Linked DNA regions of Mus musculus. The protein of the gene in region 3 purifies or fractionates together with the protein of the main gene of each other region. This does not show direct contact. Links are inferred from orthologs where the notes say so. Each region holds a gene or a part of one and is shown on either strand. Other genes may lie near its edges.

Region 1 (3,960 bases), on a different chromosome or scaffold from region 3:
CAGAAGATGGAAAGATCTCCCATGCTCATGGATCGGCAGGATCAATATAGTAAAAATGGCTATCCTGCCAAAAGCAATCTACAGATTCAAAGCAATCCCCATCAAAATTCCAACTCAATTCTTCACTGAGATAGAAAGGGCAATTTGCAAATTCATCTGGAAAAATGAAAAACCTAGGATAGCAAAAACTATTCTCAACAATAAAAGAACCTCTGGTGGAATCACCATGCCTGACATTAAGCTGTACTACAGAGCAATTGTGATAAAAACTGCATGGTACTGGTACAGTGACAGACAGGTAGACCAATGGAACAGAATTGAAGACCCAGAGATGAACCCACACACCTATGGTCACTTGATCTTTGACAAGGGAGCTAAAACCATCCAGTGGAAAAAAAAAAGACAGCATTTTCAACAAATAGTGCTGGCACAACTGGCGGTTATCATGTAGAAGAATGCGAATTGATCCATTCTTATCTCCTTGTACAAAGCTCAAGTCTAAGTGGATCAAAGACCTCCACATAAGACCAGAGACACTGAAATTAATAGAGGAGAAATTGGGAGAAAGCCTCAAAGATAGGGCACAGGGGAAAAATTCCTAAACAGAACATCAATGGCTTGTGCTGTAAGATCAAGAATTGACAAATGGGACCTCATAAAATTGCAAAGCTTCTGGAAGGCAAAAAACACTGTCAATAAGACAAAAAGGCCACCAACAAATTGGGAAAGGATCTTTACCTATCCTAAATCTGATAGGGAACTAATATGCAGTTTCTCTTTCTAAACTCTAAAAAAACTGTCCTCCAGCCTAAAACAGAAACCCGAGCAGCACAGCCTCCCACAGCACACGGGAAATATGCTGTGCCTTGAGGACAGCAAATCTCCCCTAAAGGTCAACCGGTTAATTTAAAGCCTGTGCCCCTCGGTAGCACTGTGTGACTCTTCACTGTACGATGAGCCATGTAACCAAAAGATGGATATTTCTATTTCATACCATCTTGGGGGAAGCATCCCATTTCCTTTTTAAGTATTTAAAAATCCAAAATAAACCCACTGTAGAAATATTTTTTAATCAAAAACTGGAATATTAGCATTTAGAAAATCATTTTCAATAGTATTTCCAATGAACTTTATTATACCTTATGTAAGCACGAAGGTGCTTTTTTCCAACTTTGGGACTAAAGAAAAAGGGTAAAAGAGTTTTGATGAAAATCATTAAGATCAAGTCAAATTCTCATAAATTCCTATAGTTAAAACGGTCTGTCTGGATAGATGAGGACAGAGGCAGCAAGTGGGTACCTGCCCACTCCCCCATCATACAACCAAAGCACACCATCCAAATTTCCAGCACATGGTCTGGGTTTGAGTTTTTTGACTATCAAAACTAATGACCTTTCAGTCCCTGCCTTAGCAATCGTCAGGCCACTCTCACAGAGGCTGCTGCCTCAGTAAGAGGAGGGGATGCTGCATGCAGATCAAAGATCTGGCTGAAGCAGCTGATGCTGACAGGCAAAGGCAGGTCTACAGAAGTGGCTGACCGCTCTGGTGTGAGATCAGTGTGAAGAGCCAGAGCTAACCCATCACCCAGCAGCTGCTTTCTACAGGACTAAAGCAGCCAAGGTCTGCTTCGAGAGAGAAGACTGTGGCTTTGTAAGACATACTGCTCACATTTTGGTTTAGTTCTTGATCAGAAATCTAAAACTTAAGCCTGGCATGGCGGCGCACACCTTTAGTCCCAGTACTTGGGAAGCAGAAGCAAGCAGATCTCTTGAGTTCAATGCCAGTCTGGTCTACAGAATGAGTAGGACAGCCAGGAGTACAGAGTGAGATTCTAGGTTAAAAAAAAAAAAAAAAAAAAAAACAGAAAAGAAAAGTAGAGAGAGACAGAGGCAGAGAGAAGAGAGAGAATAAAAGAGAGAAATCTAAAACTTAGTGTTTTACACCAATAAAAATGTAATTCATTTTATGAGTTCATAGAAATAAATTATAAAGAAAAATAGACACTACATGTTTATAATGATTTCCCTGGAATCTGCCACTTTGCCTGGGAAAATACATATTAAATTTATTATTTCACTTCAATTCATTCTTTTTTCACCCTGTGATTTTCTAAGCAACAGGCACTAAGCAGGTAATACAACTACTGGGTAGTAGGTAACATTTTTCTCAAGTCCTGTTTCCAGGTAAGAACTTCATGAAGAAGTTCTGGCGTTAACTACCTACATAACACACCTGTCACACAAGGCAGACGAGGCAGGGATCTCAAGGCCAAGCCAACCTGAACCTGGGCTATACATGAGACCCTATCTCAAGAACTTAGAGAAAAAGGTTTATAAAGAGAAATGAGTGTGGCATATCTTGTTATATTATAAATAGAAGGAAACTGGAAACCTGGCTTTATTTTGGGATGTGTGTGTTCTAGGGTTAAAACTGAGGCTTTATACCTGCGAAGTAAGTATGTCCCAGGTTTGGTTTTGTAACTACAAGTGGTTGGCAACTGTTTCCTTAATAGTTATCGCAGGAGTAGGTCCAACGTGAGTCCATATGTAGCCCTTCTCCGGTCGGGTGGGAACCGTGGGAAATGGTGAGGACCTTGACTTGAAATACTCAGAAGGCGCGTGGCAGACAAATTCCAGGTACTCCATCTTCCTTGGAAGATCTTCCTCTGGCCCTAAGGGGCAGCCAGGGAAATGTTAAGTACAGTTTTGAACACAGGTATCTTCTTTGTAAAATGTTAGCAATCTTAGACACTTCAGCAGCAGCACTCTTAGATGACCTAGCTGCTGTTACCTCGGAACATGCACTACTCTGAAATCACACTCCATTATTTACTCTACTTCAACTGATTAAGGCATTCAGCATCCTCCCACAGAGTGCTCAACTAAGAAAGGATCCTAAGATATTGAGTATTCGTGTCGTTTAGGAAGTGCCTGTACTGTTCTAAGAACTGTACATACACCCACACTTGGAGTCCTCACAACTTCCGCATGGGGCTCTATTTCTTCCAATAGCACATACAGGCACGCTGAGGAAAGACAGATTAAGGCCTGGTGAAGTTCCTTAATTAGCAGGCAAGTGGAGGGGCTATGAAACCAGTAGTCTGGTCCAGAGCTTGAGCTCCGGCTGGCACACCATCTAGTCAGGGAAGCATCCACACTGAGGACCATGAAACGGGAGAGGGGAGCCTAGAAATCATTCAGAGCATCATGGCCTCTGGTGTTCCAGACTTGTAGACACAAGACAGTCATCTGGTCATACAACAAGCTTGACAGTGAGTGAGAATAACATGGGATATTGGCTATCTTTAGGGTTATCACTAAGAAGAAATGCCACTTCCTTTTTGATGCAAAACAAACGCATGCCCAATTCAGAAAGAATGACAGTACAAAATAACTGAACTTTCAAAATGACACTAGGCCAGTCATTTTTACGAGTCTGTCAAGAACTAGTTGTACTCAGTCTTTTGAATGCCTTGAAATGAGTACAGTATGCCATTTCAACCATCAACAGTGAAATGAGTACAGTATGCCATTTCAACCATCAACAGTGATTTTTTTTAGACTAAGATATCGCGTATGCTGTGTAGAAGGATGTATACTGAGAAAGGTTTTTATAGAAATAATTATGAAAGTTCTTTTAGAAATTGTTTTTGAAAATTGAATAGGTCCCCTATATAACCTAGGTTCCTATGTGATTCTTGTCATACAGTTTAGGCTTGGGACACGCAAACATTTCTTACCCATATCATGTTAGTGGGCATACACTGTTCTAGCCCATAGTAACAAATGGCATTCAAATATCAACTATATAAAATGTCTATTTCCTACAATGCTTTTTGCTTTTTTTGTACATAATGATATTTATGTCTTTTTCTATTCTGGATTGAACTTTGTTCTAGCCTCACTTCACATACGGATGGTCTATATTTTATGTTATGTGCTGGGAAAGGGACCATTAGGC
Region 2 (5,463 bases), on a different chromosome or scaffold from region 3:
TGGTGCACACCTGTAATCCCAGCATTCAGGAGACCCAGGCAGGAATGATTGGCATAGATTGGAAGTCAACTTGGGCAAATACAATGTCAAGTCAAACAGGGCTTCACAGTAAGATTGTCTCAAAAATTATAGTAAAAGGAAAAAGAGAAAGAGAAGAAATTTAAAAGTCCTAGTAATATATCAAATAAAAAAGTAAGCAGCGCAGACTCAAGAACAGGGTACAATGATGCACACTTTGGAGGCCAAGGCAGGAGGATGATTGTGAGCTCAAGGCCAAGCTGGGCCCTCCTACATCCCAAATAGAAAAGAACAGCAAAGGAAACTGGACCAGAGGGGTTTCCTCCAGGTGGATCACACTTTAGAGGAAGTAGAGGCCAACAACAAAACCCACAGGCCCTCACTGCCGCCTTACTCACTCCATCACAAAAAAAAAAAAAAAAAAAAAAAAAAGCAAAGGCCAGCGGCAAAGCTTCCTCCAGGATAGTAACTTTTGTCCTTGAAACATTAAAAGCCAAGGTGGGGTGCCCTTATAAGCAAAAGTGTCTTGGAGTTAGAAATAGGAATGTCCCACATAACTTCTGACCACAGTCCTACTTTGCCCAGTATCAGCCATCTAAGTACAAATACATCAGGCTCTATTCCACACAAACCAAGGGATTTCGGAATGTAGGTGGAACTGAGGAGAGAGCCCTCATACACCTTTTTAAAAACAAGAAGCTAAAAAGGGCGGCACAAAACAAAGAACAGGAACCCCTCCTTTCCAATCAGAATGGGAACGAACAACCCCCCTACCCCACCCCAGGAGCCATCTTCTCCCAAGCACTAGCCTCGGGTCAACTGTTGCTGAACAGAACAAGAGGCTATCTGGGTTCAAAGTAGAGATGTGGGGTTTGTGTGCAGGGCAGAAAGGTGATCTTCTGGCAGAAGATAGTTTAAACTCTTTTGCAGGAGTGCTCTGGGCTGAGCGGCTGAGAAGGATCAAGCAGCGCAGCGGGTGATCAACCCAGCCCCACCCCCACCCCCTTCAGTTGGGGTGGGAGAGCTCACAGCTTTCCAGCTCTCAGCTGCTTAAAACTGCCTTTCCGGAGCCACCGAACACAATCCTGCCCCAGCAGCAAAGAATTTTGAGGCGAAGGGCTCGCTGAACCAGAGCAGAGAAGAGAAATCGGCGCCCAAGGGCAATTTTAATTGTCTAACCCGGCCCGATTTCCTAAGAGGCAGCAGCGGAGTAGGGAGGAGGGAAGGGGGAGGAGGGAGGCAGCACCGGAGTGGCAACAGGGGGCAAGATGCAGAGAAAGGGATCAAGCCTGCAGAGCCTAGCCCTGGTCCTCAAGAAGCTTCTGCAGAAAGGGCTCATGGGCTACCTCCACCGTTCTCCCGAAGACGTTTGCAAATCATATATGCAGCCAAAATGGCGCTGAGAATAAAAATATAATTTAAAGGCAGGTCGCCATATTGTAAACACAGAGGCAGAGAAGTGGTCTTGAGAGACACCATTCATGATTTCCTGCACCATCGTAAGCACCCGCTCTCCTGAGTCAGGACCAGGGTTAACTGGGTGGCCGAGGCTCCGCGCATTAAGCCCAAGGAGAGCCCAGCCAGGCAGGAGCCCTAAGGGCGGCGGGCGCGCGCGGCCGCCAAGCGGCACTGGACCTGGAGCTCCTCCCCTTCCTCCCCCGCCGCCGCCGCCGCCGCCGCCGCCGGCCGCACTCGGCCGCTCAGTCCCGGCTCCCAACCTACAACCAATCTCAGATGGGGCTCACCTCACTCCTCCCAACCCCCATCCCGGGGTCAAGACACGCCGCTGCTCCTTCCCGCAAATTGGCCGGATCCCGGCAAATACCAAGGGCGCAGAGGCGCTCGCCCCAGCGACTAGAGAGTCGGCTAGCGGCTGCAAGCTCCCGTTATTTCTACAGGCCTGGTGAAGGAATGTGCTGAGTAGGGTCTGCCAAGGGGCTCCAAAGGGGTCCCCAGCCCTTACCAGCACTGGAGGTGGAAGGCGGCAGGGCAGTGATCGCAGCACAAGAGATCCCCACCTTCCTTGCAGCTATCGCAGCTGTCGTGGTTGGTGGCCCTGCCGCTTCTCCGGGACTCCTTCTCGGGCTTCCGACTCCGCTTTTCTGCCTCGTCCGTCTTGGGGGGAGCCAGCAGAGCTTGGATTTGCTGCACACACATACAGACGGCATGTGTGCACATTCGGAGCTCCCGGGTAGCCCGTAGTCCCACCGGCGCCGCTTCTCCGTCACCCACCCCTCTTCCCCCTTTTGTCCTTCTTCCTCCCATCCAGGCTGCTTCCAGAACCTCTCGGTCCCCGGAATCAAGGGGAGCCCACCCTAACTGCGTTCCTGCAGCACAACAAGAAAAGCTCCTTCCAAATGGGGAGGACCAGGGTAGGGGGATGGGGAGAGGGTGCGCGGTTCTCTTCTTGCCACTTCCTTGTATGGACAGTGGGGGACTCCAAAGCCCGGCTCGGGAGAGGCCCGAAGCTTGGTACCCGGACGTGCAGGGGGAAGCACAAAGGGGCCGACAAGAAGGGGGTGGGGAGGCCTGCCGGTGCAATGAAATGGAGTGGGCTGAAGCCTCAGGGAGCGAATCGAGGGCGGCTGGTAGGTGAAACTGCTGCAGACGTCCTCGGAAGCTAAGCTCAGTCCCCCAAATTGCAAAGAGGGGAGGAAGAGACTGGGTGAGGAAGAACAACCCCCCCTTTTCCCGGCCCTCTGGCGCTTCGAGCTTAGGGCCGGCTTTGTGGGGCGGAGGTACCCTCCTGGCACTGGGGGGAAAAGGATGAGGGCCACTCTTACCTCCATCAGCCCCCCCGACGTGTCCAAGTCGTACACGATCGTCTTGGTCTCCATTTTCTCCCACATTCATCCACCTCTCGGGCTGGGCGCTCTCTGCTCCGGCCCCCCCAGCCCCGGGGGGAGGGGGGAGGAGGGGAAGGGGGCACCTCTGACCCCCGGTCCCCTTCTCTCTTCCCAACACAGGTTCCGACTTCCTCGCCCTGGCTCCCCCCCACCCCCCGGCCCCCAGTCCCTGGGACGGCAGCGTCCTCCCCACGGGCCGCGAGAGGGGAGCAACCCCTCAGCCCCGGCCCAGCGGCTGGCTGCACAGTGGATCCCGGCTCCGGGGGTCAGGCCTCGGCGGGGGCCTAGGCCCACAGGCTAAAGCTGGCGCTGGCGACCGCTGGTCCGGCCGGGAAGGCTAGCGGGCGCTGCCATCCCGGGCTTGGGGGACCGGAGGGGGGGGTGAGAGGTTAGGTGAGGTTGTGGTTCGTGAGGTGACTCTGGGGAGGATGATGGGGGGTGGTCCCCGGGCTCCGCCTCTCGCCGCCGCTGCCGTCTGCGTCCCGGCTGCCGCGCACTTGGCGCAAACTTACCGCGAGCGCCCGCAAAGCCACCCGCGCAGGCGCCCCGGGATCGCCGCTCGCCGCGCGCAACCGCAGTGACAGCCGGCGGCCTGGCTCCCGCGCAGCCGCGGTGATGGGGTACCCCCCGGCGCGCAGCCGCGCTGGCATTCGCCCGGAGCCCAGAAGCCCCGCCTCTCCGCCGTGCGCCGGCGTACTGCGATTGGAGGGCGGAACCTGAGGCCTCGCTTAGGCGCCTGGGAAAGCGCGTAGGGGTCACGGCGCAGCCGCAGGAACTGGAAGACGCATCACCCATTGGTGTTTGTGTGCGGACCACGGGCTCTGGTCCCGCGCAGGCGTGTTGGGTCGCCACCCTCCCGTCCCCTCACACAGCCGCCTCACGCGCAGGCGCGTTGTACCTGGAGGCCTGCACAAAAAAAAAAAAAAAAAAAAAAAGCTTCTCCTTTCGCCATTTTGGTAATGAGATTTGGGGCTACCATGCCCTTGGAGTCCTCAGTCACGACCAAGGAGGAGCGTGGGATGCTGTATGGAGCTGGTAGCTTTCGGCTGCAGCAGTACCCATATGGATGGTGTAGTGGACTGTTTGTCTCCAGTGTCAGGTGTGTCTGGACTAGGCCGCCATATTGGTAAAGAGGGAAAAAAAAAGCATTGCGACAAAAAAAAAAAAAAAAAAAGACGCTTTTGGTGGCAGATCGGATGACTGCTCTTTCCACTTCATTTCCACTCTCAGCACCTAATTTTAGCACGAGCATTGCTGCCTTGGGTCCCGATGGAACCCAAGATATTTCAAGCTGTTCTTACCCTCTCTTAACCACTGTCCCTGTGAACTACTCCGAAAGAGGAAGTCAAAAGCCCAAACAGTCCGTAATCCTGACAACGCCCAGCTACCTGCCTACAGCTGACTTCAATCCCCATCTTGCAACGCGCAGAGTTCAAAGGGTGAACGGGACCGCTTTGCACTCTGGTAGTTAGACTCGCGATGGATCTGATGGATTGTGGGAGTTGTAGTTCAGCCTTCAGGCGCTGCACTGGACCATAGGATGTACACGAAGAAAAGCCTGCCGGGAAAGGATACTTTTGAGAGCTGCCGTATTGCACACTGGGGTTTGTAGTTTGAGCCCCTCACCTCGCATTCTGAGCAGAGAGACATACCTCTCTTTGGGTGTGCGCTGTTATGCCCTTGTTATCACTTTCCAATATGGACAGATACTCTGCCTAATTGCGAATGAATGAACCCCACTAGGCATTAATTAACACTGGTGACATGCAGCTATGTCCTGCCGTTTCTTTCTTTCGTTTGTTCGTTCTGTTAAGACAGTCTTACTCCGCAGCCCTAGAACTTGTTATGTAGACTAGATAGGTCATGAACTCACAGAAATCCGACTGCTTCTGCCTCCGGTCCCATTTCTGGGATCGACGTGTGCTACTACGCCTGGAATCTCCTAAACTCATTTTTATGTTACTACACACATTATTCTCAGACCCGTAAACCTGGGAGGGACTTAGAGACTATTTGATTTAAATTCTTCATTTCCAGGTACAGAGTGGAGAGTGGTTTGCTTAGACGCATATTGAGTTTATAGCAAACCTAAAAAGGAAACATTTCTTGATTCACAGGTCAGACTTTGTCCCCTACACCGTGTTTACTGTCTCTGAGAAACTATTGCTCCTTCTTTTAGGACAGTCAGGACTGTAAGTCAAAGGGGATATAAATATCTGTGTGAAGTTTTAGTGCTTTGTGAAGTTTTAGTGCTCTCTCTCTCTTTGTCTCTCTGCCTCTCTCTCTCTCTCTCTCTCTCTCTCTCTCTCTCTCTCTCTCGGCCCTGTATTAGTGCCTAGAAAGAATAACGTTATGGGGAAGTGAAGAATGCATGCAAACTGGCTGCTCTTCCGTTGCTATGGCCAACAATAGACTAGCAGCTATAGGAAAGAACTGCGGTGTGACTCTCAGAGGAGAGAGCTGAGCTAGGCTCCTTGAAGGGAAGAAGCCAGGCTTTATGCCTCCTTCCTGCTACATAACCTCAGAAGCTGGAACCTCATATGCCCTCTTTTACTGGCTTCCTTCCTACTACCATAGCACAGCTGTGCTGCTATGTCAG
Region 3 (4,722 bases):
TGCCTTTTGAGGTAGCCCTCATACCCACACAGTCTGTAACTGGACAGTACATCTCACTTCTAGTTACTAGAAGACATTTATTTAAGAGACTGGAGTAAAGGGGAACAGAGGCTACAAACTTCCTAGGTTTGCTCAATGCCCCTTTAACAGGACAAGTGATGAGTTTAAGTTAAATTGCAGATTCTTAAACCAAAATAAAGAACAAAGGATAGTGAAGATAAACACCATTTTTAGAAAACCTTTTTGTCCTTTAAAATATATTATTCTCCTTCTAGCAGGAGTTTACAGAGTCCACCTAAGACCTTTGTAAGAACACAGAACCCAATAGGGGCAGGGGGGGGGGGCACAGCACCATAGTTTCAGACATACAAAACATTCAGCACTGACTAGAATAAGACCAAGCTGCCCAACAGACAGGGACAAGTCCCAACATGGAGGAAATATATTATCTATTTGAATAGAAGAAAAGTGGAAGATATGTTTAGGTGAGAATGAAGAAGGAAGTGCTAACTCCTTGTACTACAAGGAAGGAATGGGATTTCTTTATCAAAAAGCAGAAAGAAAATGCAAGCTTCCAAATGGATTTCTGATGCTCAAACTCTATCATACGCTGCTGGTAACAGTAAATATATATATATATATCTATATTCATATATGTATATCAAAAAAGGAAAAATAATCTATAGAACAGTCAGTAGTCAGAGACATTTAGAAAAAAGTAAAAACAAGTCTTTCTTTTTAAAAATGGGTTTACTAGAACAGCTTCACACCCAGAGGACCTACAGCCCCACATCCTCTGATGAAGCCATGGTGTTATTCACAAATATCTGCTGAGGCCATGTTGGAAACTACAGGCATTGGGGTTAGGGCTGCAAGGCAAAAGCTGTTATCTGCCAGTCTTGCTCATGGCCATGCGTGAAGCATGGTGGAGTCTGGAATACTTGTGAATGAGGGTTTCCCAGATAAGCATGCATCACCGAGGCTCAGTAAAACATTCTCATTAGTCATCCCTACTCCCTCCAGAAACCTGGATCTGTGTACCTACCTTTCTTTTCTAAAACACAGACCCAGATGGACTTCTCAAACCAATGGCCTACTTGCCTTGAAGTAAGAAAAAACCAAACCAAACCAAACAAACAAACAAAAAAAAAACCCCTTCTTCCCAGAATCCAGTCTAATCAGATATTCTAACCTGCTTGACATCCTCCTGAGGAAAGTGAGGGGATCTTTTGGAGGATTTTCTTATTGGTCTAAATAAACACAAGCAGCTGAGGTCATAGACTGCACTGCCACTCCAAGACTTCTAGAAGGGATAACTTTGGCCTGCTTCTCTTAACTGGATCAGTAGGGCATAAATGTCAGTAATTACAAAGTTGTGCTCTGACTCCTGTCCAATTATCCTAACTAAGGATATTTAAACGGTCAGGGCCTTCCAATGGCACCACCTGTAGGTTGTAACCGTCTACAACAAGTATCAGTTGGTCGAAAGCCACTTCTTATATGCCCCACTAAGCACATCAATGTATTAATGCCAAACAGCCTCCTGAGAGTTCCATTAGAACCTGACCTTAATTCAGCAAACCACACTCAACGAATCAAGAGTTGAAATACTTGGCTGCTGCACCAAAGAAGACATCCTCTGCACAGATGATAAGAGAATGGAGCCCACACAATCCATGCAGAGAGGAAGCCAGCACTAAGAGGACTTTTTCTGAAGTCCATTCATCTTTGGAAACAACATTCTGAGTGGTCGGAACCACTCTGCTTGATGAGTAAGGTCTCAATGTGGTCCACTTCCCCCCATGTTGCAAGCTAACCAGACATCTGCTAACTGGTCTCTTTAAGATCCTCCATTGGTAGTTTGTAGCTCATTAGGAAGGGAGGAGGTGGTGCTTGGCCTGGGCTATCTGGCCCCTGCTTCTTTGCACAGTTTATACAGATGTAATCTTCATTTTCAGCCATTTCTGCGGATACACCAACACAAACTTGATGAAACCACTCATCACAGCCACCATCACACTGTACCCAGTCTACCTGTAGGAGATAAAGATTGGGAGATGTTTAGCATCATAACAGTAAGGCCAGAATAAAAGCAAACCAGAGAACTTTCTTGGAATTAGAAGAGCAAACAACTGGGATATCCAGAGATAGATATGACTTCTTATGGGGTTATTTTTCAAAGAAAGAAGCTGAGAAGTTAATACCCCCAAATTATATTTTACCATAGTGTGTCCACAAAATTAGGCCTCTTAGGTACTCCATTCCCTCATGAATACCTGGGGTTCCTTGTGAGGCAGAAACATGATTGGGGAATACTTAACAAAAAAGAAATTTCTAATAGAGCAGCCAAGTAGTTTTAGCTAATATTAACAATTTCTAGGCTCTAAAATAATGCAATTAACAATCAAGAAAGGAAGAGGACAACAATGTGAGGCAATCCTGTGGATTAGCTTTATTTCAAAGAGATAAGCCAAAGTACTAAGAGCATTAAATACCTTTTTAGAAAAGCAGTCACATAGGCCACTTTTAAAACTACTATTTTTTATTCTTCTCTTCTTCCGTTACAAATACAACTCCCTATAAAAAGTTAGCAAATATCAGAGGTCAAATCTTACAAGTTAACCAATTACAACAGTCAAAGACACAGGTCAATAGATTAACTCTGGGGTTTAAAATTAGTCTGAGAAAGTGACAGGTGTCAGCGGCAGATGCCAGGCAAACACTGATCCTTCAGACCCTACAGTGACTAGGAGGGGCACAAAAGGGCTTTAGTTTGGTGACTTAAAACCTTGGCGCTAATAGTAAAGTAGGAAAGTAGTGCAACTTCAGGCTTTTCTGTTCAGAAGGCAACCTTATACTTAATGTCCTATCAGACAAGATCTATCATTACAATAGGGCTACGGGCATCCCCCTTCACAATACAAAGGCTGGTTACTGTGGTGGCAATACAGGAAGGCACTTAAAATCATAAGTTTTATTAGACCTTGGAGCAAAGAATTATGAAGGGATCAAAGAAGTCCCTTAACACAGCCAGAGGACAAAGGAGGCCTTGGCTAGGTAAATACGTTTTATTTAGGGAAAGTGAGTGGTTTTAAAATGCTTCCATAGCTTGTAAAACAAGTCATGTCAGTAAGTTTTGGGTTTATAATAAAGGATGGAAAAATTATAAAATATTGCGATTTGGCTTTTATTATCTTTTATCATTTCTGTTCTAAGCATTCTTAAATATTTGTATTGTTCTTAAATATCTGTTCATTTCCCCTCCTGTAATTAAATTCTTTAGGTGTTCCCTCCTAAGCATACAGTCTTACTATGTAGCCTAGGTTAGCCTCATCTTCATCTTTCAGTACAGCACTCTGCCAGGCTCAGACTTGAGATCCTCTTGTCTCAGCCTCCAGAGTGTTGGGATCACTGTGGCAAAATTTTAAGTTTATTAAGCAAAGGAAAGTACATATTCCAAGAACTAAGTGTGGACTTTAAGACATTCTAGATGATTCCTATGTATTTCAGACCACTGCTGTCTGTGATATTGCTTCCTGTAAATTCAGAGCAACTTAATTATTCCCAACTAAACTCAATTCCATGTTTTGCCTCAGAAGAAAGCAAAAGTATAGTTATGAAACTGATAACAGCCAGGCAGTAGTTAGTAGTGCTCACCTTTAGTCTCAGCACTCAGGAGGCAGAGGCAGGCAGATCTCTGAGTTCAAGGCCAGCCTGGTCTACAGGGTGAGTTCCAGGACACCCAGGGCTATATAGGAAAACCCTGTCTCAAACAAAATAGAACATCCCCCATCCCGCTCAAAGAAATAAAGAAAAGATCCTGCTGTAACCAGAGAAAAACTAGGATGTAACAGGCTGTAGAATAAAGGAAAGTCAGCACTTATAAATGCCAACTATTGCAAGGGAGCTGAAGAGGAGTGTTTTGGGTATTTGGAGTCTGTAAGCGAATTAGAAAAATGACCAGCTTTGTATGGGATTTGAAATCCTATGCTGTTTTATAATGACAGCCTATTAAATGAATCAAGTCTTCATTTATACTAGTCAATAGTAAAAAAAATGTTACCAGGAGAATGACAGCGGTTAAGAGCACTGACTACTCTTCTGAAGGTTCTTAGTTCGAATCCCAGCAACCACATGGTAGCTCACAACCATCTGTAATGAGATCTGATGCCCTCTTCTGGTGTGTCTGAAGACAGCTACAGTGTACTTACATATAATAAATAAATCTTAAAAAAAAAAGTTACTAAGTCAGATGTATCTGCTACCTACCAAAAAGAAAATTCTATGGTTTTTAAATCTATTTTTTTCAATGTATACACTGGTTTCAAGTTTCTAAAAACTAAAACTATTATTTTCTTTCAAATAAGAAAGGCGGTATTAGCCGGGCAGTAGTGGCGCATTTAATCCCAGCTCTTGGGAGGCAGAGGCAGGCGGATTTCTGAGTTTGACGCCAGCCTGGTCCACAGAGTGAGTTCCAGGAGAGCCAGGGCTACACAGAGAAACCCTGTCTCAAAAAACCAAAAGACAGTATTTCTTTTCTCTTTTCTCTTGTGATCTTGATTAGAAGTACCTTCCTAACCTAGCTCTTCCACTGTCTCTAAATAAATAAATAAATAAATAAATAAATAAATAAATTTTTACATTTTTCTTGAGGTGGGTATTCATTTGTACAGATTCTACTTCAGCCTTCTGGTTATATGACAACTTACCCTGATAATTCAA
Region 4 (5,334 bases), on a different chromosome or scaffold from region 3:
TTGGTTTATTTATGTAGTGACGGGGCCTCAATATGTAATCTAAGCTGGCCTTTAATTTGCGGCCCTTCTTCCTCCCAAGCGCTGATACTGCGGCTGCGCCACAGCTCACGAAGGGTTTTAGCATCAGAATTTAGGCCCATTTATCAATCCTGAGAAAAAACAAAAGATGTGCCAGAACAGGTGACTTTTTTTTTTTTTTTTTTTTTTGCTTAAGGAAATTAACCAGAATTTTCGGATATATAATTCCTTGCCTAGTACTGTTACTTCACAGAACTTGATCTTATTCATCTTTAGGAATTTAAGATATATATATGAGTCAGCCAGAGATTAGGGAGCCCATAAAATAAGAAGTGGGTGGAGCAAAAAAATCAATCTCACAATCCCTGGGAACCAAGCAGTAACTCCTTTGGCTGGGATTTGGTGACATCTAGCGGCAGATTCAAGAGGTTTACTGCTCAGCCAGTGAACTTTCTGGAAAATTGGCCGAATGTGTATTTGATCACTCCGCTTGGAGATTAGGAAAAAAGGTAGGTGAGGCTCACCACCCACAGGAAACTGGAGTTGTCTCTATCACTGGGGAATTTAGTTGCCTATGTTTTCATTAAAATTTTGTGTGCCAATTTAGCGATAAACCTGGTGAGGGGGCATAAGGGAGATTCGCAGTAAATTTGGTGAAGGGCAAAGGGGAGGCCTTGGGGACAGAGAGGAGGGGGTGTACAACTGGAAACTTGAAAGAAACGCCCTTTTACGTTACTAATATAGTTCTGAATCTTAACCATGGAAGAAGTTTATTTTGGTGGACTATAATGTGGGAATAATGATCATCTCTAGGGTCTAAAATTAAATCGGACTGGGTGGAGTGGCGCATGCTTTTAATCCCAGCGCTCGAAGGCCGTGAAGGGACAGGTGGATCTCCGAGTTCCAGGCCAGCCAGGGCTACCTAGTTACAACAGGCCTCAAAAACAAACAAAAAAACGAAAAAAGGCAAAGAAAAGAAAGGAATTTGATTAAATCGGCAGGCCTTTTCTTACAGAAGCCCTTTCCTTTAGATACTAGCACTGTCCTAGTTATTCTCAGTTTTATTAATGCAGTTTGCAAACATAAAAAAGGCAGAAAAATCCACCAAAATGAGGGACCTCGCCTACGCTCACGCGCGCGCGCGCACACACACACACACACACACACACACACACACTCACACACGGCCCCTCCCGTCCCCACCAGGGCAGCACGCCTGCGCACACCCATCATCGCCAGCGCCACGAGGGCGGCTGTGCGCCCACACCCACACTCCACAGCCACGCGAGCCTGCCTGCGCCCGCGTGCGCGCAGACACCCCGTTTCTCCAAAGCATCCAGGCATCCGCCCAGTGGCACTCACCACCCTCACACGCCTCACACCTCAAAACCTTCACCATTCCTTTGCCTTTGGTTTTTTTGGGGGGGCGTTGGTGTTTTTTTTTCCTCTCTCCCCAGGTCCGCGAGTTGCGCAACAGGCTCGGGGGCGTGGCCCCGGGTCTGCCCTCGCTCTTCCCACTCGCGGGAACCTTAGCTCATTTCCGCCTAGCCTGTTTCCGCCAGCCACGTCGGCACTTCCTTTCCCAGCGGGGCGGGGGCGGGGGAGGGGAGCGGACCCACAAACCCATAATGCCTCCCTGCAGGAGAGAAGGCGAGCGCGAGGGGGGGAAAAAAAAAACCCACGGTCAGGGGAACTCTGGGTCGTGAAGACGGGCCACGTGAACGCGCTGCCCTATAGACTTCTGACCCAACGGCTGGAGCGCACTTGGAGGGCGGGCTAAGATCCTAAAAGAACCATCGCCATTGGCGGGAGCCCTCACTGAAGAAGGATGCTAATTGGTTTGCAGTCGGCCCTAAGCATGAAGAAGCAGGTTGCTAGCACCCGCCTTTACTGCGGCTGAGTGTCACTGCTGACGTGGGGGCGGCTGTCCAATCATCTGGGTATGGAACATTCTAAAACTCAGACAAGACGGCTAGGATTGGCTGATGGGCTAAGCCCGCCTCCAGGGTGACGTGTCTGCCTATGGATATCAGTTGCCAGAGAAACCTGGCTTTACTATGGCGGTTGGAGGAGCAGCAGTGATCACACGTCGGCTGCTGGAGAGAGCTGGATTCTCGTTTCAGGTTTCGGGGTGGGGGTGGGGAGGAAGGGTAGATGATTTCCTCTTTTCTTCTTGACTTATGGATAGGATTAACTCGTGCCTTCTCATTCAGGAAAAGCGGAATTCGTATTCCTGCTCGCCAACGCCCAGCTTGGGCAAGGCTCTTTTCTGTGTCTCGGTTTCCATGTTTGTAAAATGGTAATAGTAGCTATCTCAGACGCGGATTCAGATGTGCCTAGTAAAATAGTGCGTGTGAGGCATTCGGTGTGAAGCCTGTCCCCGAAAGGTAGTAGCAATTGTTACTAAAGATATTTCTAGAGGCGATGAAAAATTTTAAATTACGCAAATTTGCTCGATATCGTATCTTTTTCTGTACATCATCCTCTTTCTTAGAAGAAATTATGACGACAGGCATTTATTAAGCCTTCCTGATAAAAATAATTGCTAGCTCATAATTGCTAATAGAATGTGGGGGTCGGAATTTTCCCACATTAAGTCAAAAAGAAAAAGGATGTAGGGGGGGAAAGCGATTGAGAACGACCTCCTGAAGCACATGCGAGGAGTAGGCCTTGTTTGAATCCTGATTCGAGCACACCAATTGTAAAATTTTCTTGAAGACGTATCGGGGATTTTTAAATGCAGGATTAATATTCTTCAATGAAATCGGTGTCAAATTATTAATTTTTTTAATGCTTATGGTGGCGATGTGGTTCTGTTTTCAGAATGCTTTATTTTGTGGAAAGAAATAGAAATGCTTAGGGATTAAATGATGTCAGAAAATGGCTTCAAAATCCATGGATGACTAGGGTCTGCTTCAGGATAATTTCAGCGATAGACAGCGAGGGGAGGGGTATCATCAGGACCCTAGATTAATCATTTAAAGTGAGGGGTGGGCAGATGGGGTTTCCTGGATTTGTCTTTTTTTCCCATGGTATATATTTGAAATATTCTGGAATTCTGAAGTCATTTTTTTCCCGATAGCTTAAAAAACCGTGGGGGGGGGAGCAGTGGGTGGGGTTACAGATGAAACAAGATGGCCTTCAGTTGGTAATTGTTGGAGCTGGATGAAGGATTCGCAGCCGTTTGTACTGCTGTTCTTTTACAATTTTATTTATTTCACATTATCCTTAATAGAAATTAATTAATTTTTTTCCAAAATTGATAAACATACAAGAAAGTACATTTATCTGAAAATAAAACTACAAGAAAAATAGAATTTCTACATTATCAGCTTTGATGTCCTTTGTGTGAGATAAAATTTTATTTACTGATGGAAAGGAAAGTCACCATCTCATATCTTTTTATGTCCTTTTCCATCTCTTTGTTTGACCTTCTAGGTCATCATCAGAAAAGCTAAGTTTGCTATACAGTAAGGATCAGGAGATCTGACCCTGGTTGCAGAACCATTCCTGGTTGCAGAATACAGGGTAAGTGCCTTCCTTCTGGCCTCAGTTTACAGACCAGCTATATCACAACCTTCTTAGATGTGTAGCAGTATTTTGAAGATTAATAAGCTGCCATCTGAGAAAGTGCTTTAAATTCTGAAAAGGGAAGGATAAACAATATAGTCATGCGTAATCTTATTCTCTTAATTAAAAATTAGTGCTCTATGAAGGCTTCACACTTCCAAATATTACATTATTTTTCTCTACAGCAAATACAGATTTGATGGATTTGATTGCTGGCTCTTCGACTTTCTGTGTAATTCTGAGCAAGAAACTTCCTTTGTTCCAAGATGTCTTCATAAAAGTATTTCCTGTAATAATACTTATATGGCTTTAATAGTCATGAAACATTTTATGTATATATAAAAGCACATTTTTGTAGAGAAATAAATAATATTTTCTTGGAATTATTTTTTTAATTAATATTGTTGGTTTCTCTCATTTTCCAGAAGCAGCCATTAACTACTAGGACTGACTTCTGAAATTAAGACTTCTGGTTTTTCCAATCAATCTTTAAAAAATAGCTTTAAGGCTATTTCCTTATGAGGAAATTTCCAAGAACTATAATTTTAGCTACCATATCCAGCATGCTAAGCAATCTTTATGTAATTTTCCTCCTTTGTTCAGACTGGAGACCATCAGTTGGGTTGCGAGTGTAGCCCAGTTGGTAAAGTTGCTTCCCCAGCATACATGGAGCTCCAGGTTTGAATCACCAGCACTGCCCAGACCAGGCCCAGACAGTGGCACATGCTTACAATCTATTAGAGGATAGAGGCAGGGGGGTCAGAAGGTCAAGGTTGACCTCAGCTATCTAGGAAGTTTGCATCTAGCCTGGGATATGAGATCTTTCCTCAATGTTCATTTTTTTAGACATGTAGAATGTTCCAGTATCCATATGAGAAAGCTGATATGTACTTGATTTTAGGCAGAGACCAAGAGATGAAAACATGGTCTAATTAATGTGCCCCCCTCACTTTTAAAGGGCTTGTGACACACACAAAAGTACAATTGGAGTCTGGTTACATGAACCTATGAAAGGAAGGGGTGTGCCTCAGTCTCTTCACAGCGACATTTTTAAAGGAATTCTATAATTGCCTTAATTTCTCTCCTTTGTAAGGACTGTGTTTAAGGGGAAGGCAGTTTCCTGGCAGAGAGGCAATTTAGAGAATAAGTGAGAGTTGATCCATAGTAGATCTATAGATACTGGCAAAGCAGAGGCCAGAGAGATCTGAAATGGGAAAGCCTCAAAGAGAAGGCCCTTGCCTTGGACCTTTGGGACTATCTGAGTACAGTGGTACTGAAGTAAAAGGTGAAAGGATGTAAAATCCATGAATGACCACATCACAAAAATTCATGAATCAGATATATGGCTCAGGGTTTTTTGTTTTTCTCATTTCCCCCTTGTTCTCTCTACAGTCAGTCACTAATTTTCTTCATTTCCTTCTAGATGACCTAACTAAAATCTTGCCTAAAATGTGTACAGATGTGTATAAAAGTTGTTTTATGATTTTCTTTGTATAAACTAAGGTGTTGATATATAACTAGCTATGTTTATTTAACAAATAGTCTTTGAATGTCTTTGTTCCTTCATAGATCTAACTTTTGTGGTATTTCTTTCACAGTGACAGTCCTTTAGCTGAGATGATATTCCAAATTATGAGTATATCACATTTAATCAAGTCACTAGAGGGTTACCCCAGTATTTTCCTGCTAAAATAATGCCACGTCAGCCACCATTTATATGCATTAACAAGTATTCTAGAGCAACAT
Region 5 (4,722 bases), on a different chromosome or scaffold from region 3:
CATCAAAACACCCTGAGTGGCCCCTGGAGGCCTAAGCACTTTCTGTTTATGTACTTTACAACAGGCCCTGGTCTCCATGCCTAGCACCATAAAGGATAGGCAAATAAGTTCTTGGGGCCAGTGTGATGGTTCAGCAGGAGAAGGCACTTGCAGGCAAGCCTGACAGCCTGAGCTGAGAGCTCTGTCCCTGGACCCACACAGGGGAAGCAGAGAGGCCCATCCTGCAGGCATCCTGACTGCACGGCTGTCACGTCTATGCACACATAAATGGATAAATATACATAATAAGAAGGTCATTAAGCCCTGGGACGTAACAGCTTTCTAAAGCACTTCCTGTGACTGACTGGGCTCAGAAGACATTTCCCCAGATGGCGCAGCTTTGGGCCAGGACTCTCATTTTGCATGTTAGAACAGGTGGGGTATAGGGATGGACTTAAGAGATGGCTACAGTGCTAAATGCTATGAACTATGGATGCACTTTAAAGGGTTAATTCTGTTGTGTGAATTTCACCTCACTGAAACAAAAGTATAGACTTGCTGTGTGGACCCTGTGTTGAAAGGACCAGTTTCCAAGGTGACAGGAGAGCTCCCCTGATCCTGCCCTCCCCTGACCAGCCTCACCTGGCGGGCAATGTTCTGCACTAGCTTGTCCATAGTGAAGCCAATGTAGGCATGGATGGTGAACATCTCACGGAGAGTGTCCTCATACTGTGTGGGGTCGATGCTCCCCTCTAGCAGGCTCCGCACCATGTCCAGGAAGGCCGGGTAGTACTCCTCCAGCTCCACTTCACCTGGGGAAGGAGGGTGGTCACTTGAATCTCTTGCTGAAAGCAGCAGCCCGGACTCCCTAAGAAGGACTTGCTAAGGAGGCCCTATCCCTGGTCCACCACCACCCTCCATTAAAGTGGCCTAAAGGGACAGAGGCTAGCCCAGAGCCTCACTCAGCCCAGGCACTCACTAGGCTGCTTGAGTCGCAGCTCCATGGCAGGGTCTGCAGCCTTCTCACGGCGGCCCTCGCACAGCAGCTGCTCCCTCTCCTGCTCTCGTCGATGTTCCAGCAGCTGCTTCTGCGCCTGCCGGTAGATCTTGAGCAGGCGGGCGCACAGCGTCTGGTGCAGCCGCAGGAAGAAGTACCAGTTGTTGTTGGCAAAAAACAGACTGTACACATCGTCCAGGACCTTGGGCGGTTCTGGAGATGCATCTGCAGGGGGCTTCTCATCTGTGGGCCGGCGGCGCTCAGGCTCAGCGCTGTCCCGGTCCCGGTCGCGCTCATCAGCAGAGTCATCGGAGGTGCCGGGGCACTGCTGCGAGAAGAACAGGCTGGGCAGGAAACGGTGAAGCAGCTGGCGGATAGTGCCCTGGTCCTCTTTCTGAATGGCTGGCTGCCGCTTAACATAGTAGCTGATGAGTGCTGCTGCGTCCTCTAGGATCTGTCGGTCCTCATACACGAAGATAAGGTGCGGCTCGCTGGAAGGCGCACTGCGGCCCTCTGAGTGCTGCTCCTGGTGCTGCAAAGGGTGGCAGTCAGCGGGCATGGCCTGCCCATCACCCAAGCCCCACTTCCAGCATAACCTCCAGCCTCCTTAGAAAGGATGAGTGATCTTGGCACACACCGAAGGAATAGGGTTATCTATCCAACCTTTCTCACAGTGTCACAGCTGCCCTGGTAGGGTCCAGCTCCCAGCCAGTCTACAGCTCTCAACTGGGCAAACCAAGGCCCTCTCACTGCAGGTGGATGTTAGCACTAGAGGACTGTAATGAAAGGAGAGACTTCCCACAGACCTGGCTAAGGAGTAAGGTCTCCATAAGGTGAGGCTCAGAGTTCAGAGTGGCCCAGGAGCCTTCAGCCATCTGTCACTCACTCAGTTCCACTACTCCACAGGGCTCTTGGTGCCGCCCCCATTCCATTAAAACAGCTTACCACCTGCCTAGCTCCTTAACCAACAAGAAATGAGGGGTGGGGGAGATTTCCCCCAGGTTCTTAGAGACCTTAGCCCTCAGCCTAGTGTCTGCAGTCATCTCTTGGGTTGAGCTCCTTTCTGCTGTGTACAAGGCCTCTGAGCATGTCCAGGTGAACCTCTTTCCCATACACCACCCCTTAATGTTGATGTGGATAATGGCATTCCCAAACTCAAAGGTGACCACTACTTGATCCTCCCTCAACCCAAGGAGCTGTCTTTGCACTTAGGCCCTCGGTCGATGGCAGCACCAACTCCAGACACTGTCTCTTTAGACAGGGCTGAGTATCTTCTCAGCTCTCATGGTCAGTGCACGGTGAGCTTCTGGGGGTCCCTCAAACACCATCTCTGGCAGGATCCAGTCTGTCAGTTTGTAGATCACACTCCCTAACTGAAGACCAGGAAGCTCAACTCAGTACTTTAGAGACCCATGGCCAGAGTGGGCTCAATGACCTAGCTACTACAGTGCCTCAACACAGCCTGGGACTCCTCTGACCTTCCAAGACCCTTGTTTTGTTCAGGCCACTGTGCTTTGTCAGCTGGGCCATTTGGAAAGAGGAGCCATGGGAGGAACTGCCTGCATCAGGTTGGCTCATGGGGCATTTCTTAGCTCCTGCCTCAAGTTCCTGCCCTGACAGCTCTGAAGATGAACCCGAAGGCGAAATCAACCCTTTCCTCCCCATGTTACCTTTGGTCATGGAGCTTATCACAGCACAAGGGCAAATTAGAATCTGGATACAAGTGTCCAAAGGGCTTACTCCTCCTTGGTAGAGCCAATCCCACTGAGAGGGCTCATGGACAGATGACACAAGAGTAGCTCCCTAACAGGTATTATTGGGAAGCTGCGCAGGCTTCCTGTGCCTGTCCTGAGATCTCATGTTCCCATCTTGCTAGAGCCTAAGCAATGGAGGAGCTAAGGCAGCTCTGGGCTGAAATTTCTAAACTCATGAGCCAACACTAGCTTTCTTCTTTTGAACGGTGTCTCTCACATGCTTGTCATAGGAATGGAGACTGATTTAGTAATATATGGACACCTCAAAACTCTTTTTTTCCCATGTGGTTACCTCAACTTTTAACCTAGGCCTCAAATTAGGCAAGTGTTCTTACCCCACACTACCACTTCTGCCTTCAAAGGTCAGGCCATGGGAACTGCAGAGATGGCTCAGCAGTTAAAGGTGCTTGCTGTTCTGGATTTCCAGTAGCTCACAGACACCTACCTGCATCTCTAGCTCTAAGGGCTAGCACACCTCTGACCTCTGAATGACTTAGGTGCAGCAGAGAAAGCCCAGGAAACGTCTAGCAAGCAGCTCCTTTCATACCTCAGTTTCCCCATCACTAAGGCAAGCATGGTGTGGGTTCAGGTGTGAGGAGATTGGTAGTCCCTGCCCAGCATGCCTCACCTCATCATAGACACTTTCGATCTCATTGAGCAGGCTCTTAGAGCGCAGTGCCTTGGTGTCATTCTGCTTGAAGTTCACAGCCTGGTGGTCCAGGGACTTGAGGTATGCTTTCTCGTACTGCTCACGCCAGATCTTGTTGAAGCCCTGCTGGGCCTCCCGCCACTCCTCCTCCTTGGCCTTCAGCCTGTAGGGAGAGGGGCTCAGTGCCTAACAGCTGGACCCTCCTGTGACCCCTGGAGAAGGGCCCAGCTTCCTCATAGCAATTACACATTTGGTCTACGTGGCAACAAGCAAGCCAGCATGAGGGAGGTTAAGGCAGAAGGATATCCAGTTCTAGCTGGCCTGGGTTACAGTAAGAAAGCCTCATCTCAAAAACAAAACAACAAAAAAAAAGAGCCTGGCATGGTGGTGCAAGAATGTCATCCCAGCACTTGAGGAACTGGAGTCAGAAGGCTCCCTGGGCACATGGTTAAGTCCGATGCCAGTCTGAGCTACATAAGACCCCATCACCAAAATAAACAAAAGAAAACAAAACAAACACCTCCCACAGAGAGGGGGAAGAAAGGGGAAGTGGTCCTACAGAGCCAACATGGCTACTTAAAAAATTTTTGTATTTATTATTTCATGTGCATGTGTATACCACATGCATATGGTGACCCTGTGGTTACAGACAGCTGTGAGCCACCATGTGGGTGCTGGGAATTGGACAGGGTCCTCTGGAAGAGCAGCAGTGCTCCTAAATGCTAGCCAGCTCTCCAGCAGTGGCTGGTTAAAGTCCTCCAGCTCCTCCCAGACACCCAGCAGCCCACACAGCTCTGACACTAACCCCGCTGAGCATCACAGCTCAAACCTGTGGGCTAGCACAGGGCTTCATGGCATGCCAATAGACAGTGGGCTAGGGATCCTTGTGTTTCGGTCATAATCCACACTTTGAATCCCAGGTCTCAACCAGACCTAAGTGGGACACTGAAGCACATGTACTGCCACAGGCGCTGTAAGTCACCAAGAGGTCATGGATAGGTACATGTGTGTAGATTTTATGTAAGCAAAAGGTGAGACTGCTTGTTCATACCCAGAGATGTCCAAGAGCCTGGTTGTTAAGACTCTGTTCAGGACTAGGTCAGCTGGAGGCTGACCTGAAGAGACAGTCAAGTGGCTCCATTGGTCAGGAACCCTGGTAGCTCTCCCGAATCATGGACAGGAGTAGAAGAGGGAGATACCTTTTCAGAACGACAGGCACAGCGGTGGCAGGGTTCCTTTTCAGGCTCTCAATGACCTCTGGGGCCTTGTCTCCATAGATGCGGTGTATGGCACGGCGTTGAATCACCTCTGATGTGCCACCCAGGCAGTCATCCAGGCGGAGC
Region 6 (4,722 bases), on a different chromosome or scaffold from region 3:
AGTACTGAGCCATCTCTCCAGGCTCCCCCCACACCCCCAATCTCCTCTTTATAAGTAAGTTCAGTATACTGTGCAGCTTCTCCACTGACTTCCCGTCCCGCCCACAGCCCTCCAAACTTAAGCCCAGGTCATTGCAGTCGAATAGTGCCCCTGAGCTACATCCCCAGCCCCCAACTTAACGCTTTTAAGAAAACTTTAAAAAGCCAGGTATGGTGGCGCATGCCTTTAATCCCAGCACATGGGAGGCAGAGGCAGGCGGATCTCTGAGTTCAAGGCCAGCCTGGTCTACAGAGCAAGTTCCAGGACAGCCAGGGCTACACAGAGAAAGCCTGTCTAGGGAAAAAGGGGGCTTAGACTTGACCATTGTAGGATAGGAAATTCAGCATTGTTTGCTATCCATGAAGGGCTGCGCAGACACATCCAGAATGCAGGCTAGGCTGGGCCGAAGGTGTTAACAGAAGGTTCTCTGGCCTGGGGCTGAATTCCTTTGTTAAATGTCTAGGTCGCCCCTCCCAGTGGCTTTGTCAAAGGGGAAAGTAGATTTGGTGTGCACACCTTTTGACAGCCAGTTGCTTTTGCCAAGAGCTCCTCCTGGGGAAGAAGGGCTGCAGTTAGGCAGTCTCCATTACCCACAGCCTGGGCCACTAGTTAATTACTGCTCAGCATGGGGGCTGGGTCTTGCTCTCTTCTTCCCCCAGAAGGCTTGTGACTTCTCCATCTGGGATATTAGTTTGTGCTCAGTAAGGCATAATTCATAGCTGTTGCAGAGACCATGCTTGTCCTTGGGGCTCCAGGGGCCCTCTAAATTCCTTCAGGCAGTCTGCCTCTGCTGGGTTTGACCTAGAACTTGGCCTGCCATGTGAAGTCCCAGCTCAGGAAGCCAATCCAGTTTCTGCTTGTTTCCACCCTGCCTGGCTGTAGCTATAGGTAAACCGCCACCGTCGTCCACTTCGGCGGGCAACCAGTCTCCCCCAGAGACACCGGTACTCACCCGCTCAGCCACCCAAGCACCCGCGGCTGGGGTCACCGTGGCCGCCGCCACCACCAGCACGATGTCTACCGTCACAGTCACGGCACCGGCCACCGCCGTCACGGGAAGCCCGGTGAAGAAGCAGAGGCCGCTCTTACCGAAGGAGACTGTCCCAGCTGTGCAGCGGGTCGTGTGGAACGCATCAAGTAAGTTTCAAACGTCCTCCCAAAAGTGGCACATGCAGAAGATACAGCGCCAGCAGCAGCAGCAGCAACAACAACAGCAGAGCCAACAGCAGAGCCAGCAGCAGCAGCCTCAGTCTTCCCAGGGGACGAGATATCAGACCAGACAGGCTGTGAAAGGTACCGCGCCCCCTTCTGTTCTCTGTGGCGCCCACCCCCTTTTTGCCACACTAACAGGAGAAAGGCCACCCTTGTTGAATTTTTCCCCTACATCCCTATGTGTCATGGTCACCGCAGGCCTTATCATCCCATATGGAATTATTTTTTTAAAAACTGGCTTGCTAGCACTATTTGCCTGATTTTTTTTTTTAAAGATTTTTTTTTATTCTGTTTTATAAGTGATACGTGTTTCCTCTTTACAGAGGGGACAGGATATGTGTGTAGAATTCAGAATGCTCAATGTGGGCCCATTCGCTGTCCCTGTCATTGTCCACCCTTCTGTGACAATCATTTGTTGTCCTTATGCCTCTCCCAGTGCATGCCTATACGTTTGTTTTTATACCATATAATATTATACCATAAAATATTGTCTTTTTTCTTTCTTTCTTTCTTTTTTTTTAAAGCAAAAATGGTACCATTCTTGATTTTTTTTTTCCCCCTTCCCTCCCACCCATCAGCATGTTTTAGAGGTCTGTCTGTGTCTTATCCTTTTGGACTGCTGCATAGTATTCCCTAGTTCATTTAAGGTGTTCACCTGCTGGTGGGCATTGAGGATGCTTTTAGTTTTTCCCATTGTAAGATATGCTGCAATGACTATGTCTTGTGAGCATCTGGGAATCTCCAGGCGTTTTGTGGGAAAGTCTTTAGAGTGTGAGGAATCGGTAGGGGGGACAGTTTCCTTCCAAACCCCTGCCAAGGTGAGCCGGCCTCTGAGAACTCAGTGCTGGAGGCCAGTCTCTGTCCTGCAGCTGATGGCTCCGCTCAATTGTCTGAACCCAGCTTCAGGAGCACTAATGTGGGTCTGGTTTCTTGGGGCAAAGGAGCTTCCTTCACACTCGCTCTGTCCTTCCCCCATGCTCCCAGAGCTCATCCCAGTGAGGTAACAGGTCAGTCACAGGGACACTTTCAGGGACTCAAGGCCAGGTGGCTGGAGAAGGCCTGAAAAGCTGGACAGGTCTAGAGTGAGCTCTCAAGTACTGCAGTGGACATGGGATTAGGGCAACCCCTTGTTGGATTCTGTTTCTATCTAAGGCTGTCTCCTGCAGATAGGGTAGGTGGCTGCAATGCCAGGACCTGGTGGCAGTAGGGTCCTCAGCTTCCAGATAGTCCTGTGTCAGGTTGTAAGGCTTATTGCAACTGGGAAGGGCCAGTTTTAATCAGTAAAGCAGCGGAGACAGACTTGACGCAGTGGTTACTCCCTCAACACGCCTTATATATAGCCTGCTGGGTCAGACTTTGATCAGCAGAGGCTCCTGTAACCACCAGTGATTAAAATGGCCAAGTAGTGGCTTTACTCTCTTCATACCACATTGCCTTTTTAGCCGCTGTGGCAAGGACTGACTTCAATGAGCGTGGTACTGTTTTGCCACCAATTAAAACGAAAGGCGTTGATTTTAATGAGCGCTGTGCTGACGGATCGGTAAAGTTATTGGGTCACGGGTATAGTTGCGTAGAATGCTCACCCAGCATGCACAGAGCTCCGGGTTAAGTTCCCAACACTGCAAACACCAAAGATGTCAAGGGCTGAGATTTTAATGAGTGACAGACTCTTACTCCCTTCAGGCAGGAAGTGATTTTAATTAGTAGGACACTGGGTCTGTCATACCTGAGGAAGGGGTCCAGGGTGACTGGTGCAGGGGTGGCTGGCACTTTCAAAGGTAGAAAGGGCTCAGGCCTTGTAATGAAAGCCAGAGGGTCTGTTTGTGAAGCTGTCCGGGTTTGCCAATGAATGGCCAAAGTTCTTACCTTCTCATAGAGATGGAAAGACAGAGGTTTCACGTCTTCAGATGTTGGCTGCATCCAGCTGTTAAGTCCTTCTGGTAGCCTGGTGCTTCAAGGCTCGATTAAGTCCCCTAAACTGAACAGCCTTGAGTTAGCTCCTGAAGATGATTGCTTAGGTCTTTGTAGTGCAAGGTTGGCGCCTAGTGGAGAAGAGAGCTCAGAGGAGCCAGGCTCGAGCTTGGGCAAGGTGAGACACTGGCATTCGTAGTTCAAACGCTGGCTAGGGGAAGCTATAAGAAGACTTCCCTCCCTCGCCCCGGCTGTTTGCTGGGATGTGCTTTTCTGTATGGGTGGAGTGACCCGACCCTTTGCTTTCTTAGCTGTCCAGCAGAAGGAGGTCACCCAGAGCCCATCCACGTCCACCATCACGCTGGTGACCAGCACACAGCCGGCAGCCCTGGTCAGCAGTTCGGGCTCAGCAAGCACCCTGGCGTCTGCAATCAATGCCGACCTTCCCATTGCCACCGCCTCGGCCGACGTGGCCGCAGACATTGCCAAGTACACCAGCAAAGTAAGTGGGTTGGTGCTGCGGCTGGGGTGGGGTTGTTGGGGCCCTGGCTTGGTAGTTTGTAAAAAAGGCTAAGTTGCAGGCTTTAACAAAGGGTCTCCAAGGACAATTTACATTTGAGTCTTGAGTTAGATAGTTTCATCTATCATGGCTAAACCAGGGTTTGGGATACTGCTACACAAGTGCTGTAACCCTGCATTGTGTCTCCAGCGCCATTCTGTTTTATTTTGAGGCAGGGTCTGCCTCTGGAGTCTAGGCTGGCCTTGAAGAGCTCCTAAGTATCTGAGATTGCAGGTGTGTGGCTACCATCCCCCACCTGGCTTGGCTGTCTTGGAACTTGGCTCTGTAGACTAGAGCTGGCTTTGAACTCACAGAGATCCGCCCCCCTCTGCCTCCTGAGCGAGGGGACTAAAGGCCTGTGCCACTGCCACCCAGCAGGTTAGTTAATAGAAAACTGTGGACTGGTGGTGCGCCGATTTCTCTTGGGGAGGTGAACACTGGTCTGTTTGGCTTGCCCAGAGAAGGGACGCTGAACCAGAGTGAGAGACTCCATTGTCACACCAGCACGATGACATGCCAGGGACTTAAGAGGGGCTCCTGGGTCCCCTCCTTAAGTCATCCACTCTCTCGGGCTCAGGGTTCAGTCCCTGCTGGTGGCCTGGCATGTAGGATGGCCTGCTATGTGTAAACTTGGCAGACTCTCTCAGTTGGGCAAGTCCTTGAATGAGCGCGGTTGACTAAAACACGCACCTTGGTGTTGTGGAGGCCGCTGCTGTGTCCTGAGGGTGGTAGTCGGTGGTAGTCGAGGTATGGTGGTGACCCCTGGGGCTCCTTTGGCTGTTGGCTTGTCCCTAAGGATGGGGCTGATGCCTGGGTAGTAGGTGCTTGGTGCTGGGTGGAGGTACTGAGTCCATCACTGTGAGCTTTGCGTGGGTCAGCTAGTCGCCTGCTTATCGGGTTTATCACTGCCAGTAATTTAATAGCTAATGAGAAACACTTTCCTATTTAGTAAATGGTTGTGTGAACAAGAGCAATTTGTCTTTTACTAATGAGCCAATCAG

The links.
Region 1: the proteins of Kdm5a (region 3) and Gatad1 purify together in Homo sapiens (affinity purification with mass spectrometry; 6 studies listed by BioGRID and IntAct, with this or other methods). This does not show direct contact. The link is inferred for Mus musculus from reciprocal best matches to the Homo sapiens genes KDM5A and GATAD1.
Region 2: the proteins of Kdm5a (region 3) and Phf12 purify together in Homo sapiens (affinity purification with mass spectrometry; 3 studies listed by BioGRID and IntAct, with this or other methods). This does not show direct contact. The link is inferred for Mus musculus from reciprocal best matches to the Homo sapiens genes KDM5A and PHF12.
Region 4: the proteins of Kdm5a (region 3) and Morf4l2 purify together in Homo sapiens (affinity purification with mass spectrometry; 4 studies listed by BioGRID and IntAct, with this or other methods). This does not show direct contact. The link is inferred for Mus musculus from reciprocal best matches to the Homo sapiens genes KDM5A and MORF4L2.
Region 5: the proteins of Kdm5a (region 3) and Sin3b purify together in Homo sapiens (affinity purification with mass spectrometry; 4 studies listed by BioGRID and IntAct, with this or other methods). This does not show direct contact. The link is inferred for Mus musculus from reciprocal best matches to the Homo sapiens genes KDM5A and SIN3B.
Region 6: the proteins of Kdm5a (region 3) and Zmynd8 purify together in Homo sapiens (affinity purification with mass spectrometry; 3 studies listed by BioGRID and IntAct, with this or other methods). This does not show direct contact. The link is inferred for Mus musculus from reciprocal best matches to the Homo sapiens genes KDM5A and ZMYND8.

Annotation. Positions count from the first base shown.
Region 1 is NC_000071.6:3,638,910-3,642,869, forward strand, and holds the end of Gatad1 (GATA zinc finger domain-containing protein 1), read right to left. Parts: intron 2,672-3,960; coding exon 2,481-2,671; 3' UTR 1,052-2,480; downstream 1-1,051. UniProt on the Homo sapiens protein: Component of some chromatin complex recruited to chromatin sites methylated 'Lys-4' of histone H3 (H3K4me), with a preference for trimethylated form (H3K4me3).
Region 2 is NC_000077.6:77,980,716-77,986,178, reverse strand, and holds the start of Phf12 (PHD finger protein 12), read right to left. Parts: upstream 3,364-5,463; 5' UTR 2,868-3,363; coding exon 2,802-2,867; intron 2,164-2,801; coding exon 1,982-2,163; intron 1-1,981.
Region 3 is NC_000072.6:120,436,299-120,441,020, reverse strand, and holds part of Kdm5a (lysine-specific demethylase 5A), read right to left. Parts: intron 2,035-4,722; coding exon 1,828-2,034; 3' UTR 1-1,827. UniProt on the Homo sapiens protein: Histone demethylase that specifically demethylates 'Lys-4' of histone H3, thereby playing a central role in histone code. Does not demethylate histone H3 'Lys-9', H3 'Lys-27', H3 'Lys-36', H3 'Lys-79' or H4 'Lys-20'.
Region 4 is NC_000086.7:136,738,017-136,743,350, reverse strand, and holds the start of Morf4l2 (mortality factor 4-like protein 2), read left to right. Parts: upstream 1-1,998; 5' UTR 1,999-2,141; intron 2,142-2,195; exon of another isoform or gene 2,196-2,405; intron 2,406-3,456; 5' UTR 3,457-3,546; intron 3,547-5,334. UniProt on the Homo sapiens protein: Component of the NuA4 histone acetyltransferase complex which is involved in transcriptional activation of select genes principally by acetylation of nucleosomal histone H4 and H2A.
Region 5 is NC_000074.6:72,746,505-72,751,226, reverse strand, and holds part of Sin3b (paired amphipathic helix protein Sin3b), read right to left. Parts: coding exon 4,579-4,722; intron 3,543-4,578; coding exon 3,359-3,542; intron 1,509-3,358; coding exon 959-1,508; intron 792-958; coding exon 622-791; intron 1-621.
Region 6 is NC_000068.7:165,804,129-165,808,850, reverse strand, and holds part of Zmynd8 (protein kinase C-binding protein 1), read left to right. Parts: intron 1-921; coding exon 922-1,332; intron 1,333-3,473; coding exon 3,474-3,664; intron 3,665-4,722. UniProt on the Homo sapiens protein: Chromatin reader that recognizes dual histone modifications such as histone H3.1 dimethylated at 'Lys-36' and histone H4 acetylated at 'Lys-16' (H3.1K36me2-H4K16ac) and histone H3 methylated at 'Lys-4' and histone H4 acetylated at 'Lys-14' (H3K4me1-H3K14ac).